4 linked regions of the Callithrix jacchus genome follow. The protein of the gene in region 2 interacts with the protein of the main gene of each other region in a pairwise test. Links are inferred from orthologs where the notes say so. Each region holds a gene or a part of one and is shown on either strand. Other genes may lie near its edges.

Evidence for each region.
Region 1: the proteins of CDCA7L (region 2) and CARD9 interact in binary tests that used the Homo sapiens proteins (3 or more experiments, as listed by UniProt). The link is inferred for Callithrix jacchus from reciprocal best matches to the Homo sapiens genes CDCA7L and CARD9.
Region 3: the proteins of CDCA7L (region 2) and CTNNBL1 interact in binary tests that used the Homo sapiens proteins (3 or more experiments, as listed by UniProt). The link is inferred for Callithrix jacchus from reciprocal best matches to the Homo sapiens genes CDCA7L and CTNNBL1.
Region 4: the proteins of CDCA7L (region 2) and ZGPAT interact in binary tests that used the Homo sapiens proteins (3 or more experiments, as listed by UniProt). The two-hybrid records come from large-scale screens. The link is inferred for Callithrix jacchus from reciprocal best matches to the Homo sapiens genes CDCA7L and ZGPAT.

The regions. Positions count from the first base shown.
Region 1 is NC_133502.1:184,840,588-184,844,716, forward strand, and holds part of CARD9 (caspase recruitment domain-containing protein 9), read right to left. Parts: intron 3,985-4,129; coding exon 3,859-3,984; intron 1,700-3,858; coding exon 1,508-1,699; intron 1,120-1,507; coding exon 1,078-1,119; intron 741-1,077; coding exon 692-740; intron 1-691. UniProt on the Homo sapiens protein: Adapter protein that plays a key role in innate immune response against fungi by forming signaling complexes downstream of C-type lectin receptors.
Region 2 is NC_133512.1:36,238,894-36,243,377, reverse strand, and holds part of CDCA7L (cell division cycle-associated 7-like protein), read right to left. Parts: intron 3,287-4,484; coding exon 3,149-3,286; intron 125-3,148; coding exon 1-124. UniProt on the Homo sapiens protein: Plays a role in transcriptional regulation as a repressor that inhibits monoamine oxidase A (MAOA) activity and gene expression by binding to the promoter.
Region 3 is NC_133506.1:33,130,191-33,135,129, forward strand, and holds the start of CTNNBL1 (beta-catenin-like protein 1), read left to right. Parts: upstream 1-1,527; 5' UTR 1,528-1,585; coding exon 1,586-1,615; intron 1,616-4,939. UniProt on the Homo sapiens protein: Component of the PRP19-CDC5L complex that forms an integral part of the spliceosome and is required for activating pre-mRNA splicing.
Region 4 is NC_133506.1:59,225,465-59,229,230, forward strand, and holds the end of ZGPAT (zinc finger CCCH-type with G patch domain-containing protein), read left to right. Parts: intron 1-333; coding exon 334-467; intron 468-705; coding exon 706-861; intron 862-1,684; coding exon 1,685-1,804; intron 1,805-1,888; coding exon 1,889-2,291; intron 2,292-2,480; coding exon 2,481-2,619; 3' UTR 2,620-2,834; downstream 2,835-3,766. UniProt on the Homo sapiens protein: Transcription repressor that specifically binds the 5'-GGAG[GA]A[GA]A-3' consensus sequence. Represses transcription by recruiting the chromatin multiprotein complex NuRD to target promoters.

The sequences.
Region 1 (4,129 bases), on a different chromosome or scaffold from region 2:
CTCAGCTCGAAGGCCACAGCCTGGTGCTCAAGAAGCTTGTCCGACTCCCATGCAGCCTCCCAGGGCCCCTCCCCCGGGCCCTCCCCGACCCCTGCCTGATACCACATTCAGAGCAAACACCTACCCCATAACCACGGCCCACTCTGGGCACTCAGGCTGCTCCCAGCTAGCAACCCCAGTCCTTCTCCAGACAGGCAGAGGGGTCCTGCCCCACCGCTAGAAGCCCCCGACACTGCCCCGCCCCATGGCCCCGGGACACAGCAGGCCCTTGGCCACCCCTTCATTGGGCCCTGTCCCTCAAGCCCCAGGGAGTCCCGTCTCACCCTACTTTCTTTCTCACCCCTAGCCTCGTGCACCTGGGCATTTGCTCATTGCCACCTCTCTCTGCCCAAGAGGAAGCTTGGAGCAGGCAGGACTCTGCACCGTGGGGGCTGCCCTAAGGGGCACCACACTCCCCACCACAGGGAACACTTGTCCCACCAACCAGGGCCCTGGGTTCCAACTGGACTCTGGTCTGTTCTCTGGGTGCCATGTCCATTTTACTTATCCCCCAGCCCCAGCTTCCCCATCTGTGGAGTGAGGGTGGTAGAGGCCGAGACAGGCGTGTGTCACGCACGGCTGCCTGCACTGAAGATGGGCCTCGCTTGGGGCAGCTGGGAGGCCTCCGGGTGCACAGCCATCACCTCCTCACCTTTGTCTGAGAGCTGGGTGTCCTCCTCCAGGTCCTGGGGGAGCGAGAGCTTCGGAAGAGAAGCGAGATGTCCTGTTAGGCCCCTCTGCCAGGGACTGGACCTGGCCACACTGCCCACCCCAGCTCTTGGCCATCGCTGTCACCCCCTGCACAGAGCTTCTCAGCGACTCAGGCACCCAGCCAGGAAGGTCCTGCCATGAGGGTGCCAGGAGGTGGGCACTGTCCTTACCCTTTGAGCTGTCGGAGGCCTTAGTGTGTGGCTGCTTGCTCTTCCTCCACCCAGCCTGGCCACCAAGGAGGACCATGTGACGGGAAGTGTGGGGTTATGCCTGGTGGCAGCTCAGGTGAAGGAGGGGCAGCCCTATGCTGGCTGGGGTCTCACTCACCTCCTGGGAGCTCCTAGGTGAGCCATCCTCCAGGTCGGAGCTCTGCGGTCATAGAAAATGGGGTGAGTAGGCAGGCTGTGAGGGCCTAGGGCTCCCCAGACATGGAGTGGACAGGGAACAAGAGTGGGATCCTCCGGGGGGCCCTGGGCATGCCCTCAGCCACAACAACCCCCTCCATGAACAGAACCACCTGCTAGGCTACCTGATGGCCAGGCCCAGGCCCCACCCCAGCCCTGCAGCCCACTTCCTACTGGGGCCCCAATCTGCCCCTCTGCCCTCACCCCCCTTCGAGGAGGGGCTCCGTTAGGTTGGGGCCCATCACAGAGGAGGATTGGGTAAGGAAGGCCAGGGCCAGGGTATCCTGAGGCTCCATGCTCCCCGAGCCCTGTACCCCCTCAGCTCCCCTCCCTGCCCCATGCACCAGGCCCACCAGGACGAGCATCTCCAGCTGCTGCCGCCTGAGCCTGCCCTCCACGGCCAGGAGCTGCGCCTCACGCTGGAACAGCTGCAGCTGCAGCTCATCAGCCTTCTCGCCCAGCTCCCGCACGTGCTTGCGCAGCACGTCCTTCTCCTGAAGGCCCCGGGCGTGCAGGGTGTGCAGCTCCTCCCGTGTGGCGATGGCCTGACAGGACAGTGCAAGACCAACCCTCAGTGAGGCCCCAAGCTCACCCTGGGTCCTTAGCCTGACCACCCAACTCCCAGCACAGGCCCCGAGGACATCCAGCCGCTGGCTGCAGTGGCCAGCCCCAGTCCCTCCCTTTTTGTGCTCTGCGGACATGAAGCCAGCATTTGAGGGATTGTAAAGGTGACACTTAAAACAATATAAGGAAGGCTCACCCTCAGAATAGGCCCTGCAGCCCTCCTCTGTCTCCTCCCATGCCTGCACCCCCGGTGGACACAGCGTGTGCTATGCACCCCTACACATGCACACGGGATGAATTTTGGATGCAGCTTGATATGGAGAACCTGACCCTCCATAGCTAAAACTCCTTCATGAACGCAGCATGCTTTACCATCCCTGTCCCTGCCGCAGACGCTGAGGCACAGGAGCAAACATGCAGACAGAAGACGGCCTGACCACCCACGCAGCAGAGGCTGAGAGGGCCTCACCTAACGCCTGCCCACTCAGCTTCCCTAATCCCTGCCCACTCCCCCTCCCTGCACAGCCCCAAGGGAGGTCCTGTCTCGGGAGCAGCCCCAACCCCCACGCAGCACAGCTGAACCTGCCCTTTCTTCTCCAACTTGGGGTGGGCTAGGTGTGAGTGAGGCTGTGGTGGGGCCCCTACAGGAGCTCCAAGCCTGAGCTTCTCTCTCGGGGGCAGGGGCTTCCTTTATGGCCCCAGGGGTCTCGTTTTAAGGCTCCTGATTCAGGCAAACCACAGTCCAGCATTCGCTGAAGCAGCAATGGTGTCCATCAGAAACAACCTCAGAATGGGACTTGGGACGGGACCTGGGAAGCAGACACAGCCCTGTCCTTGCTGCCGCCTCAGCCTCTCAAATATCTGGGGCCACAGGCGTGGGCCACCATGTCAAATTTTTTTTTTTTTTTTAGATGGAGCCTCACTCTGTCACCCAGGCTGGAGTGCAGTGGCACGATCTCAGCTCACTGCAACCACCGCCTCCTGGATTCAAGTGATTCTCCTGCCTCAGTCTTTTGAGTAGCTGGGATTACAGGTGCCCACCAATATGCCTGGCTAATTTTTGTATTTTTAGTAGAGAAAGCGTTTCACCATGCTGGCCAGGCTGGTCTCAAACTCCTGACCTCAAGTGATCTACCCACCTCGCCCTTCCAGACTGTTGGGATTACAGGGTTGAGCCACCCCATCCAGCCAAGATTGTTTTTCAAGATTAAAAAAAGCTACTGGTAAGACAAATTAAAAGTAAAAAAAAAAAAAAAAAAAGCTACTGGTAAAACAAGACAGAAGGCTTCCATTTTCATAAAACAAAAGCAAAAAAAAAAAAAAAAAGGTTCTTTCCTATGATCCATGTTAAAGGGGAAAAAAAGAAAGAAAGAGGGAGGAAGGGAGGAAGGGAAGAAAGCAAAAAAGAGGCCGGGCGTGGTGGCTCAAGCCTGTAATCCCAGCACTTTGGGAGGCTGAGACGGGTGGATCACGAGGTCAAGAGATCGAGACCATCCTGGTTAACATGGTGAAACCCCGTCTCTACTAAAAATACAAAAATTAGCTGGGCATGGTGTGGCGTGCCTGTAATCCCAGCTACTCAGGAGGCTGAGGCAGGAGAATTGCCTGAACCCAGAAGGCAGAGGTTGCGGCGAGCCAAGATTGCGCCATTGCACTCCAGCCTGGGTGACAAGAGCGAAACTCTGGCTCAAAAAAGAAAAAAAAAAAGAAAGCAGAAAAGAAAAAAGAAAGAGAAAGGAAGGAAGAAGATGGCAGGGAGGGGAAGGGGGGGAGGGGAGGGGAATATCTGTTAAGATGGAGCGGGATGGTAGAAGTTTCCCCTGACAGCAGGCTGGGATGAGGGAGTATTGACTTCATCAGTTTACTTTTTTTTTAGTGTTAGATATTCCTTCTGTTACTTAAAAAACAGGTCAGTGTGTTGGCTTAACCTGCAATCCCAGCGCTTTGGGAAGCTGAGGCCAGAGGATTTGCTTGAGGCCAGTAGTTTGAGGCCAGCCTGGGTGACATAGCGAGACCCCATCTCAAAAATAACAAAATAAAGATTAAAAACCCTCTGACAACTGCCCTCAAGGCCTGTGGCCCTGGTGCACCCACCTCGAATGGGGCACTCTGTTCCCCAGCCCCCACCGTGAGCACCCACCTGGTCCCGCTCGACAGCGACCTCCTCCATCTGCAACAGGATGGCCTCGATGCGGTCCTTGTACACCTTGCAGTCCTTGCGCAGGGCCCGACACTGCAGCTCCAACATCTCCTTCTCCTCCACGAACTGCAGGGGGTAGCAGCTCAGCCCCCAAGGCCTGAGGCTCCCCATTCTGACCAGTTGGGGGGTGCTCCAGCTAGGAGCTCAGGAACATGGGTCAGGTCAGTCGGGATGTTGGGGGAGGCCATAGGAGCCCCCAGGCCCCTATTAC
Region 2 (4,484 bases):
GAAGACCAATACTACTACCTCTTCGAGACCTGCTTCTTCTTGGGGTAGCCTTATCTTCTTCATCTTCCTCTTCCTCACTCACCAAAGATGCTTTGCCGTCGTCACTCAAATCTGACTCCACGAGCTAATAAAATAAGAGCAAGAAAAAGCACAAAGACACCGTTTCAGACAAACAAAAAAGACATGCATTTAAAACAACTCTGGTAGTATATGAGAAAAAACATGAGAAATGAAAAGATTCCCCTTCGAATTTTGAGTTTCCTCTGAATTTCTTTTAAATGTGCAAGAAATTGGTTGATGAATAAAATGAAATAATCTACAACTGAACTGTGGACCATCAAACCCAGCACAGAACTGGGTCCATTTGGAGCATCAGCTGTAAGCCAAACACGGACAGGGTGGGTTCCTCCACCATGGGAAGACCAAGGAGCACCAGCAAGAGGAGAGACAGTCACAGAAAAGGGTATTCACGACAGATGTGATCTGCAGAGAAGCAATGGTGCTAAGGGGAAAAAGTGCTGACTGGTCTCCTCAAATAGCAGGAACCAAACTTCCAAGTAAGAGGGCAGGAGAGCTGACTGCACCTCAAGGCAGTGACCCAGGACAGGCTGATGACCTGCCACTGGGTCCTCAGTCAAGGGGCACCCTTCCCTTCTCTGGAACCCTCAGAGCCATGGGGTGAAATCAAGTCAGAGAGCTACAGGTTGTAGCAACACATCACTTAGTCAACTCAAGAAATCCTCCTCTAAGTTTTCAAGTTCCACATGGTATAGGTCTCCAGCACTCAAACACTGCTCCACTTTACAAGTGAGAACTTAGTAAGTATGGAAGGCAGTAACAGGGTCACATCACCTAAGTGACATGTGATGAGACACTTAGCAGTGGTACCGAGACAGGTTTAAGTATGTGAGATCCAGGACATCTTCTAGGCATCTTTCCATGACCACAAGGTAGAAAACTTAAGAAACCGCTATCTGGGAATTCCAAAAATCTACGAAGAACATGGAATAGCAGCAGGACAGACTCAGGACTTAGTTCAGGGACTCTGCTTCCTCCCCAGTGACCACCATCACCCCCCCGCCAAATTCTAGCTGGACTAAAGTTAGAAATAAGACAGAGGGAGAAAGAAAATGCAGATGACTGCCAACTCTGGTATAGCCACACAAAGCCTAGGGAGAAATAAGACTATACAGCACTGATTTTTCTATTTCTTTAATACCCTGACCTTTCCACATTAGTAGCTTCAGAATTCAAAATAGTGTAGTGCAAAGGAACCCAATTTTAGGGGACACTGTCAGGGAAGAACTTCAGCTTTGATCCATTTATCTTCCATCCTTATCATCGACAGGCCTCTCTTTACCACAGACAGAAGTGGAACAGCTCACTACAGAGGCCTGGAGGAAGGGAAGAACAAACTGTCCACAGCAGCCCAGAATCAGACCTGAGAGTAAAGCACAGTCTAGCACGTGGATGTGGCTATGTCACATCCGGACCACAGATCCCTGGAAACCCAGGTGACAGCAATATCCCATTTAGCAAGAAAGATGGTCTCTCCAGTTCCCACAAGGGTGGGCAGGAGGTTGGGCTGGGAGGCAACCATGCTTTTCTTCTCACTGGATTCTAAAATAAAATTTGCAGGGGCCTGTGCTGAACCGTATGCCATATCATGATCTATGTAACACATCACAGTCCACAGACATGGGGGCAGGTGGGAGGGAAGACTTCTGGGGTAATTCATTTTCTCTCACTAGAAACACAAATGCTTCAAATAACCAGACATCACTTCACTAAAGAACAGAAGACAAGTAGGTCGCTAAGACATAATGCCCATTAGGGGTTTAGAAGGATCTTAATATCTTGCTGCAAGAAACTGAGGACTTTCTGGCCGGAACCAATGAACTGCCACACAAACAGCTTCTGCAAAGGAAGCCAAAGGAGAGCTGGGGCCTCCGAGCTAGCCCAATTCTATGTTGCTACTCATGGCAAAAAGTCACCATCACACGAAGCAACCTACCATGAGGGCTTTTATACTCTAAGTCCTCTCCTAGGACAGGTGAGGGACAAGGCCAGCCTAGGAGTCACAGCTTGTTTATACCTCTATACAGGCTCTGGGCCAAAAGTTAGTCCTAAGCAGCTTCTGGCTGTGAAGAAGCTTAAACTCTACGTTCCATCTTCATACTGAAGAAGAAAGTAGCATGTTTTGTTTTGTTTTTTTGCATAAATGTGTGCTATTTTTAGTTAGCATAAGTACATTTCTTTTCTTAAATCCAAAGGCTGTGCCTTAAAGTTACCTTAAGATTCAAACACAACTTGGCAGTCAACTAGCCTAACTGTGCATAATAACATGAAGAGATCAACTAATAAGTCTGCTCATAGGAAGTGCTGAGAGCAGACTTCCCTCCAGAATCCAGGCAGGTGATTTTTAACACTACAAAGCATGACAAATCCAAATCCACAGTACACGGGGAACACCAAGTTTGTACCACGCCAAATTTTTGCCACACTGACTTCAAACCAAAAACTATCACTTCACACACAGTAAGAATCTCAAGAAAACTCTGAGATAAATTCTTTTAATTTTTTTTTGAGATGGAGTCTTGCTCTTTCATGCAGGCTGGAGTGCAGTGGCGTACTCTCAGCTCACTGCAACCTCTACCTCTCAGGTTCAAGCGATTCTCCTGCCTCAGCCTCCCGTGTAGCTGGGACTACAGGTACTCGCCACCATGCCCGGCTAATTTTTGTATTTTGAGTACAGACACGCTTTCACCATATTGGTCAACCTCGTCTTGAACTCCTGACCTCAGGTGATCCACCAACCACGGCCCCCTAAAGTGCTGAAATTACAGCCATGAGCCACCGTGCATGGCTCATTTTGAGAAGGACAACAAAGGATGCCTGAGACACATCCCTAAGCCCCACAGGAACAAGGGGAACATGAATAGATTTTCTCTAAGAGAATAATGGACTGGTGGACCAGGGATTAGCCTTCTAGGAGTGTTTTTTTTTAAGGTTATGTTAATTAGTTTGAAAGATAGGTAAGAAAAAGTAAAATCTTTTCATTTGTGAAATGACTTCTTACAAGTAAAACTCTAATGCAGAAACAGGATGACAAACATCACCACCCACATCCTTCCGTTTTAATTATTACCATTACTTCTGGGTTAGTCTTTCCATTCAGATCACTCTGTGTAAATCCTGTAAAATCCTCAGTCTCTGAGTCAGTGTCCTCTATAAAAATTCTTCTTAGCTCTTCCGTGAAGTATTTGGAATGAAAGCGCATATCCTGCTAAATTAAACACACACATACATCAGAGGCAGAAAGCAGAATAGAGGTTACCAGGGAAGGGGAGAACGGGGAGCTACTGAACAGGTGCAGTTTCTGATGCAGATGACGAAAATGTTCTGAGATGGATGGTCAACAGTGTCAATATTAATGCCACTGAACAGTACCTTCAAAACAGCTGAAATGGTATATTTCATGTTATGCATACTTTACCACAATTAACAAAAAGAAAACAGTAGCCCGGTGTAGTGGCTCATGCCTGTAATCCCAGCACTTTGGGAGACCGAGGCAGGCAGATCACTTGAGCTCAGGAGTTCAAGACCAGCCTGAGCAACATAGTGAGATCTCATCTCTGCAAAAAATACAAAAATTAGCTGGGTCTATTGGCATGTACCTGTAGTCCCAGCTATTCAGGAGGCTAAGGTGGGAGGATTACCCACACCTGGGAGGTCGAGGCTACAGTGAGCAGAGATCACACCGTTGCCCTCCAGCCTGGGTTGCAGCTGAGATCATACCACTGTCACTCCAGGCTGGGTGACAGAGACCCTGTCTCAAAAAACCCATATACATACATGTATATTTTATATATATAAACATTTTCTAAAGCTTACAAAATTCAGACCTACAAATCAGACAGCTTTTAAAAATCAGCATGGGTGTAGTCTCAATCAGCTTCTAATGTAACTGGTAAGTGCTCATGGAATTCAGCTTCTGCCAAAGCTGGCAACCAGAAACGTCTGCTTTCACACAGAACCAAAACACATGGAAAGAAGACATGAGAAAACCTGGCTCCCTCCCACATGCTGGCTTCCCTTTCCAACAGCCTTTCAAAGCCAGAGTCTCCTCCAAGTGGGTGAGCATGCCTCCCCTTCACCAACAGCGAGTTTCCCTGTAGGAAAAGGCTGGGTCCTCTCCCAGCCCTCACTACCCACCACCAGAGCCTAGACTTGCTCCATGACCAGACACACCTGATGGAAAGCTCACCCAAGGTCACCCCCAGGAATTTCTCTTCTGCATGAGGTGAGAGGTGAGCAACCATGGCAAGCTGTCAAGTGAGCAGAAGGAAAGATGCAATGTGACTCTTTAAGAAAAGGCATTTTCTAATAATGACTTTTTCTTTCTTTTGAAATAGTGCAAAGAAGGAAACCCAGCTCTCTTAATAGTATGCTTGAAAAAAAAGAACAAACTGCAGGCCAACAGG
Region 3 (4,939 bases), on a different chromosome or scaffold from region 2:
CAGCTTCCCAAATAGCTAGGATTAGAGGCTAACCATGCCTGGCTAATTTTTGTATTTTTTAGTAGAGATGGGGTTTCACCACGTTGGCCAGGCTGGTCTCAAACTCCTGACCTCAAGTGATCTGCCCGCCTTGGCCTCCTAAAGTGCTGGGATTATAGGCGTGAGCCACCACGCCCAGCCACGCCTGGCCAAAATCCAATCTCTTTACCTTGGCACACAAGGCCCATTATGAAACCTCTCCCTCTAGTAGGCATTGTACTAGGCTTGGAGGATACAGTAGTGAACATGACATACACACATCCTGCTTGCATGGAGCTTGCAGTCTAGTAAATAAGGCTGTCAAGAAACAAATAGTCAACCATTAAACACAAAATTACAGATTGAGATATATACACAGTAAAGAATAATGAGGAGAGAGTTTGCTTACTTTGACTGAGGGTGAGTTGAAGAAGCCATTCTAAGAAAGTGACATTTGAGACCGGAAAGATGAGAGAGTTGGATGAGATGTGGGGCTGATAGCTAGACAGAAGGGGAGAGGATTTGTCACTTTGAGGAATAAGAATAATTTCTGTATAGTTGGAGACAGTGGAGTTAGGATGGGGACCAAAATTATAACTATGAAGGGCATATAAATATAATACAACATATAAATATAAATATAAAGGGCAGGGCTTATGGAGAAAGGTTTAATTTCCTTTGAAGATGGAGCCTTACATCCCAGGAGATTAAGATGCACAATTTGAATGATACTCTTCCAATTATGGGCAACTTTCTCCTCCAGAAACCTTTTTATATCGCCTGGGTAGCACCAGGTTCATCTAGTTACTGTCAGACTTTGCATAGATGAATAGACAGATGTCTAGAGAGGGACATGTGATCCAACAGTTTCTCAGCCAGTAATAGTTGTACAGCCTTGGGACAAGTCACATTTTGAGCCAGCCCTGTCTGATAGAAATTAGTGGAAACCACAAATGAGAGCCACATGTGTAATTTAAAATTTTCTACTAACCACATTTAAGAAGTAAAAGGAAACAGGTAAAATTCATTTTATAATATATTTATTTGACCCAATCTGGTGTGTATTTTATTTACACTTACAGCACATCTCACTTTGGAGTAGCCATATGTCAAGCTCTCGGTAACACGTGGCTACTGGGTTAAAGTATTGGATGGTGCAGTTGGGAGCATCAGTTTCCTTTTCTGTGAAATGAGGACAAGTCACTTCAAATACTACGGAGAGCGCACACTAAGCACCCAGCGCTCCGCTCTGGACACGGGGGGCGCGGAATCAAGTTTGGTTTCTTTCGGTTTCTGCTCTTCTCCTCCAGTCCCTCCTCTAAGTCTCCGCCCCTTTCCCCGCCCCCTCAGGTTATAGGCGGAAGCAGCCAGGTTCCAAATACAGCACACTTTACGGCGGCGCGGCCTTTTACCGCGGTGTGGCCTGCTCGCTTGTCGCGCGCGCTTCTGCTCTATTGGCTCTGAGGCCCCGCTCGCTGCACTTTACGGCAGTGTGGCTGGAGCCGCGGCAGACGGGCCCGTGGTCTGGCCGTGAGTGGAGGGGACCGGATTTGCTGGGTCGGGTACCATGGACGTGGGCGAACTTCTGAGCTACCAGGTATGAGGGGCAGGGAGGGCCGAGCGACCGCCTTCTCACTTGGGCAAGGGTCGCAGGGGCCAGAGCCCCTTCATCTCACCTCCTTTCGCCTAGCTCCCGGGCCCCCTAACTTCTCAAGTCACCTGGAGTCCTAGCCCCTCGTTTTACTTTCCTCCCGAGGCCCTCCTGGGCCCTTTCGATTCGTCCCTTCTCAAGACCTGAGCCTCTCACCTCCTCTTCCTCACCCCGGGGCCTGGTTCCCTGAAACTCCTCTGAAACCCCAGACTATCCCGTTTTCCCAGCCATGTCCACTCAGCTCTCATGTCCCCCCAGTCATTGAGGTGATGGTGGTGGTCATGGTGGGAGCGCACTTGGATCTCTCTTGGGTTTGAGCTCCAGCTTCTCCACTGACTGGCTGTGTGGATTTTGGACAAGTCATATCCCCCTCTTTGAAACAGGTTTTTGTGTCTATGTGGTGGAGACACTAATAGCTGCCTTAGTAGGGTTGTTTGAGGACTGTACCAACTGATGGATATGAAAGCTGGTTTTAAAGTGTGGAAAGCTGTGCTTGTGTTTACTGCGATTTGGAGGAGATGTTGGGAATTCTAGGAATGGAACTGAGTTTCTAGGAATCTTGCTCAGGGCCCCCCGTTGCATAGGATACTTGTGGGGAAACTGTGAGGGACCTAGAGAGCAAAAAGGATTTGTCCGGTCACTCAGAAACAAGGAGCTGGAATTTGAGCTCAGGTGTCTTGACTTCCACCCCAAAGGGTCCCCCCGGTCCCCCGCTTTGATTCCACAGTAGGCTCATTGTGAGGGGCAATAGAGCTGCACTGCCCAGTGTGGTAGCTACCACATAGGCTGTTGAATGCTTGAAATGTGACTAGTCTGAATTGAGAAGTACTGTAAGTGTAAAGTTACATTTAGGTTGGAGACTAGTATGAAAAAGTAACATTTTTGTATTGATTACATGATCGTACTGATTATATTAATTACATTGGTTATTGGTCATATTGATTAAATGATCATATTTTGGATAATGGGTGAAATAAAATATACTTAATTTTTAATTTATTTTATTGTTATCTAGAGACAGGATATTGCTCTGTCGCCCAGGCTGGAGTGCAGTGGCACAATCATTGCTCACAGTAGCCTTAAACTCCTAGGTCTAAGGTATCCTTCCCAGTAGCTAGGACTGCAGGCGGGCATTACTATGTTTGGCTGATTTTTAAATTTTTTGTAGAGACAGGGTCTTGCTATGTTGCCCAAGCTGGTCTCAAACTCCTGGCGTTAAGTGATCTTCCCATTTGGCCTCCTAAAGTGCTGGGATTACAGGTGTGAGTCACCACACACCACACCCAGCAAATAAAATATGCTTAAAACCAATTTTTTTTTTTAGTGCAGTGGCACAATCACTGCAACCCCCGCCTCCCGGGTTCAGGCATTTCTCCTGCCTCAGCCTCCTGAGTAGCTGGGATTGCAGGCCTGCGCCACTACACCCAGCTAAGTTTCGTATTTTTAGTAGAGACGAGGTTTCACCATGTTGGCTAGGCTGGTCTTGAACTCCTGACCTCAGGTGATCTGCTTGCCTCGGCCTCCTAAAGTGCTGGGATTACAGGCGCGAGCCACCATGCCCGGCCTTCAAACCAATTTTAACTGCTCCCCTTGACGTGTTAATGTGTTTACTAGAAAATTCAAAATCACGTAGGTAGTTCAGCTTACATTTTTGTTGGACAGCTCTGCAGTCACGAATAGGTGATTAAGAGCCATGAGTCTGGACCCCTAGGTTGCTGGCAGTCTCTGGTTTGCTACTAACTGGCTGCTATAAATTTGAACAAAATACTTAACTTCTCTATGCCTTGGTTTCCTCATCTTAAATGGGGGGAAATGACAGTAGCTGCCTCACAGGGCTGTTGTGAAGCTGTTGAGAAATGTAAAGTGCTTAGGCAATGCTTGCCAAAAAGTAAACATTCAGTAAATATAAGCAGTTATTTTCCCACCACTCCCTCAGCCAACATACGAGAAATTGACCCCGGACACTTAAGACATCATGGGAAAGAACAATTAAGCAATGGAGAGCTGTAGAGCCAAGAGAATTTTCTTTTAAAGACAGTTTAATTGATAGTGAAAGACAAAGGGAATTAGGCATGTTGTTGAATGAGTGATTGTATGCTTGCTTGGAATTTCTAGAAGGGCTAGCCCATTAAAGCTAGAAAAGGCTGGGCTTGGTGGCTCACGCCTGTAATCCCAGGACTTTAGGAGACCAAGGTGGGTGGATCATGAGGTCAGGTGATCAAGACCATCCTGGCCGATGTGGTGAAACCCCGTGTTTACTAAAATATACAAAATTAGCTGGGTGTGGTGGTCCACACCTGTAGTCCCAGCTACTCGGAAGGCTGAGGCAGGGGAATCTCACTTGAAGCCAGGAGGTGGAGATTGCAGTGAGCTGAGATTAGGCCACTGCACTCCAGCCTGGTGACAGAGCAAGACTCCGTCTCAAAAAAGAAAAAAATTCATTTGCTTAACACCTACTATGTTGCTCAACAAATATATATTGAACACCTACTGTGTGCAAGGCAGTCTATCCACTGGGTATATAACACTGAATAAAAGGCAAGATTCTTGCTTTTGTGGAGCATCTGGTGGGAAGTTACAAGATACTAAGTAAACAAGACGTTCAGATTGTGGTAAGTGCTAGGAGGGAATATAGTAGAGTATGATATAAAATTGCACTGCTTGGTATAGTAGCCTTTAGGCACGTGTGATTATTGAACACTTAAAAATGTGACTCGTTTCTAACTTAGATCTGCTGCATGTGTAAAATACACACTGGATTTCAAAGATTTAGTATGAAAATAATGTAAAATATCTTACCTTTTATGCTGATTACACATTGAATAAATGTCAACACTTAGGATATATTGGATTAAAGAAAATATATTATTAAAATTAATGTTACCTTTTAAAAAAACTTTTAAAATGTGGCTACTAGAAAATGTAAAGTTAGATAGGTGTTTTGCTTGTGGCTTTTTTTTGTGTTTTTGTTGGACAGCACTCCTGTAGAGAATAACCCCTGGGAGTTGAATATATATTGGACCTTTTACTTTATGTAATGTGGTCGAGGAAGGACAGTAAAGGACTGGAGGTTGAGAGGGAGCCAGTCATGTGAAGGGAGCAGAATGATGGAGGCACAGAGAATAGCAAGTGCAGACATAGGCTATCGGTAGAAGCTGGTGCAGCCTCTTAGAGGACCAGAAAGAGGATCGATGTTGCTGCAGCATGGGAAGTGAGCAGAGGAATGGTAAGTGACAAAGCTGAAGATGTAGGCACATGACAAGACTATGT
Region 4 (3,766 bases), on a different chromosome or scaffold from region 2:
GTGTAAATGTATATGCACGTGTATATGTGTATATATGCGTGTGTGTATATGCGTGTCTGAAGGTGTATATATGCATGAGTGTGTATATACATCTGAGTGTGTATATATGTGCATGTGAGTGTGCATGTCTGTGTATATATATGCATGTGTGTGTGTATATATGCATGTGAGTGTGTGTATATATGCATATGAGTGTGTGTGTGTACGTCTGTGAGAGTGTATATGTGTGTGTGGCTCCCTTAGGACGGTGCCCAGGGAGATGGGTCAGTGTTCCTGGGTGTGTTGCCCCGGTGGCCTGTGTCTGAGCCCTGCCCCCTACGGCTCTCTCTGCAGGTTCTCCCATGGGCAGCTGGTCTCTGTGGATGAGCTGCGCCCCTTCCAGGACCCAGACCTGAGCTCCCTGCAGGCTGGCTCTGCGTGTCTAGCCAAGCACCAGGATGGCCTCTGGCACGCAGCTCGCATCACCGGTGAGGCTGGCCGTGGAGGCCTCCCAGCAACACCCTCCCATGCGTCACATGTGTTACTACTGGGTGGCTACTCCCTGCCCCCTTTGTGTTGAGTGTCAGGACTCTGGCTCTGTGCCAGCAATGAGCACATCTGCCCTCAGCCTCTGCCCTGCCTTGTTCCCAATGTCCCGCATGGCTCCTGAGCAGTGGCACCTGCTGTTGTCAGGGATGCTGACCTGCAGTTTGTCTCTGCCCCCAGATGTGGACAGTGGCTACTACACAGTCAAGTTTGACTCGCTGCTGCTGAGGGAGGCCGTGGTTGAGGGGGACAGTGTCCTTCCCCCGCTGCGCACAGAGGCCACAGAGTCCTCCGACTCAGACAGCGATGGCACGGGCGACTCCAGCTATGCCAGAGGTATGGCAGCAGCTGAAGGGCCCAAGAGGCAGGAAGGTGGGGTCACCAACCACTGCAGAGTGTGGACTACAGCGAGGCTGCTGTGCTCAGCACAGGTGGCAGCTGTGCCTGGGGAGGCAGTGTGGGGTCAGGGTGCAGGAGCATGAGTGAAGGCCGGGGTAGATCCATTGTGACCTTTGACTTGAAGGAGTGTGAGGGTGCAACAGCTACAGCCTCACTGATGGGAGGCCGTGGCCGTGGGAGGAGGGGCCTAGAGTTCCCAAGGAAGTTACAGAAATGACCAACTGCTGGGGCCTGGAGTGCAAGAGGGACAGCTTCTTTGAAAGGCTTCTCAGACTTGGGACCTGGGTACCCGGTGGAGCCTAGCAGACAGAGGTTGTGTCTGGGCAGCTAGAGTGGAAGTTTCGGGACTGGGAACTGGTGGGCAGTGTCCAGCTCTCCAGAGTGGTCAATTAGACAGGGAGGTGTACCCAGGGATCAGTGATGTGAGTTGGTGACTTCTGAAGCCCCATGTTCCCATTGAAGGAGGAGTTGACCGAGGACTCTGAGGGCAGGTAGGAGCTCATGGCCCCGCAAAGGCGGAGAAGGGCAGGGGCAGGAGAGGGCTGTAAAGGAAGGGCCACGGTGCACCAGGCCATGGGGACTGCCACGAACTCTGCCTGGTGTCACATGCCCACAGCAGACCTCGGTGACAGAGTGCAGAGCCCAAGAGGTGGGGTGTTGGGGCTCTGCCCAGGAGCTAAGCTCATGGGCCAGAGCCCCAGTCACGATGCACAGTCCTCTGGCCTGGCCCAGCCACTGCCCTCTGTCCCATCTTTTGCAGTGGTGGGGTCAGACACTGTGGACTCCGGGACCTGCAGCTCTGCTTTTGCTGGCTGGGAGGTACACACGCGAGGCATAGGCTCCAGACTCCTCGCCAAGATGGGCTATGAGTTTGGCAAGGGTGAGTGCCCGCTTTCCTTGAGAGGTGGGGGTTGGCTGCAGCACAGCTGGGGTCCCACAGCACACAGCAATACCATCCCCTCAGGTTTGGGCCGACACGCCGAAGGCCGGGTGGAGCCCATCCACGCCGTGGTGCTGCCTCGAGGGAAGTCGCTGGACCAGTGTGCAGAGATCCTGCAGAAGCGGACCAGGGTTGGCAAGGCTGGCACCAAGCCCCCCAGATGCCGCAGAAGAGGGGCCAGGGCTGGGGGCCGCCTACCCCCGCGGAACGTGTTTGACTTCCTCAATGAAAAGCTGCAAGGCCAGGCTCCTGGGGCCCTGGAGGCTGGGGTGGCCCCCTCAGGGAGAAGGAGCAAGGATATGTACCGTGCCAGCAAGAGCACCAAGCGGGCCCTGAGCCTGCGGCTCTTCCAGACCGAGGAGAAGATCGAGCGAACCCAGCGGGACATCAGGAGCATCCAGGAGGCCCTTGCCCGCAATGCTGGCCGGTATGTGTGGGGCAGAGGGCAGCCCAGGGTGGCCATGCCTCCAGTACACGTGCGGGAGGTCACCTGACCCAGGTGTGGTGGGCGGAGTCCAGGAGGGGTCTGGATGTTGGAGGACGTGTGGTGGGCACGGCAGCCTGGGATTGGTGGCAGTGGCCCAGGAGCCACACTGACTGGTGGGCCCCTCCCCAGGCATAGCGTTGCGTCAGCCCAGCTGCAGGAGAAGCTGGCGGGAGCCCAGCGGCAGCTGGGGCAGCTCCGGGCTCAGGAAGCGGGCCTGCAGCAGGAGCAGAGGAAGGCAGACACCCACAAGAAGATGACTGAGTTCTAGAGACCCACAAGCACTATGGGGAAGGTGGACCCAGCGCGGGCTGCCCTCCGCACTGGAAAACCCATGTTGCCCAAGGAGGACTGGCCTGCTGGCCTGGGGCATGCAGACGCTGCTGAGTGGAGACAGGGCTGCAGGGCCCCATCTGGACAATTACCTGCCTGTCTGCCAGTGTCTTGGGCATTTCCTTGGCAAGGACATTAAAGAGTTTTCCATCACAGTGTCATTCAGTGGAGATCAGCTGGCTGCAGGGCCTCTGGGAAGAGAAGGGTCTGTGCGGGGCTGTGGTGAGAGGCTGACTGGGCTGCAGGGGCCTAGGAGGCCAGCGTTCTCTCTTCTCTGACCAAGGCGGATCAGAGGCCAGGTTGCCTGCCAGGCACAGATGGGCAGAGCTGCCTGACACCCACAGATGGGTGGAGCTCAGTGCTGCTCCAGCAGGCGAGGGTGGGAGGACTGTGGCCCACCATGTGGGGCTCTTGGTGAGGCAGGTGGACCTGGTCTGTGGGTTCTGTGCCAGCTCTACTCACCTCTCCATGTGTGGAGGGGTTGTGAGTTAGGCTCTCAACAGTGCAGGCTAGAGGCACACACGTTTCCTCTAGGCCTCGGGTAGGGTGCAACAGGTGGGTGAGGCTGCGGTGGTGGCTGCTGCCCAGGGTGGGAGGCTGCAGGGGAGGCGCTCGGAGACGTACAGGAAGTGATGAGATGGGGCGTTCAGCTGAAGGCTGCACAGAGACCTTCCTAGCCTACGCCAGCAGAGCTGAGGAGCTCTGGCTGTGGGTTTGGTAAGTGCTTGGGCAGGTCCCCAAGTGCCCTCCTGGGGTGCCGCTGGGGTCTGGTGGGGCTGTCCTTGGGATGTGGCTGTGGTTGGGTCAGTCAGCTGGGCTGAAGCCCACTGCCTGGGTCTGGGCAGACTGGCCTTAAACTCCAGAGACCACCCTCACCTCCCAGAAGCTCTGCCAAGCCCCAGGAAAGGCACAGATCCTTTGGCAGAGACAGTGGCAGACAAGAAGAGCCAGAGAGAAGTGGGGTGGGGGCACTCAGCAACCCCAGTAGCTGCTGCTGCCTGCTGACCCAGCCTCCAGCCCCTCCGGAGAAGCGTGCAGGTGCACACTGATGGGAGGCCGTGGCCGTGGGAGGAGGGGCCTAGAGT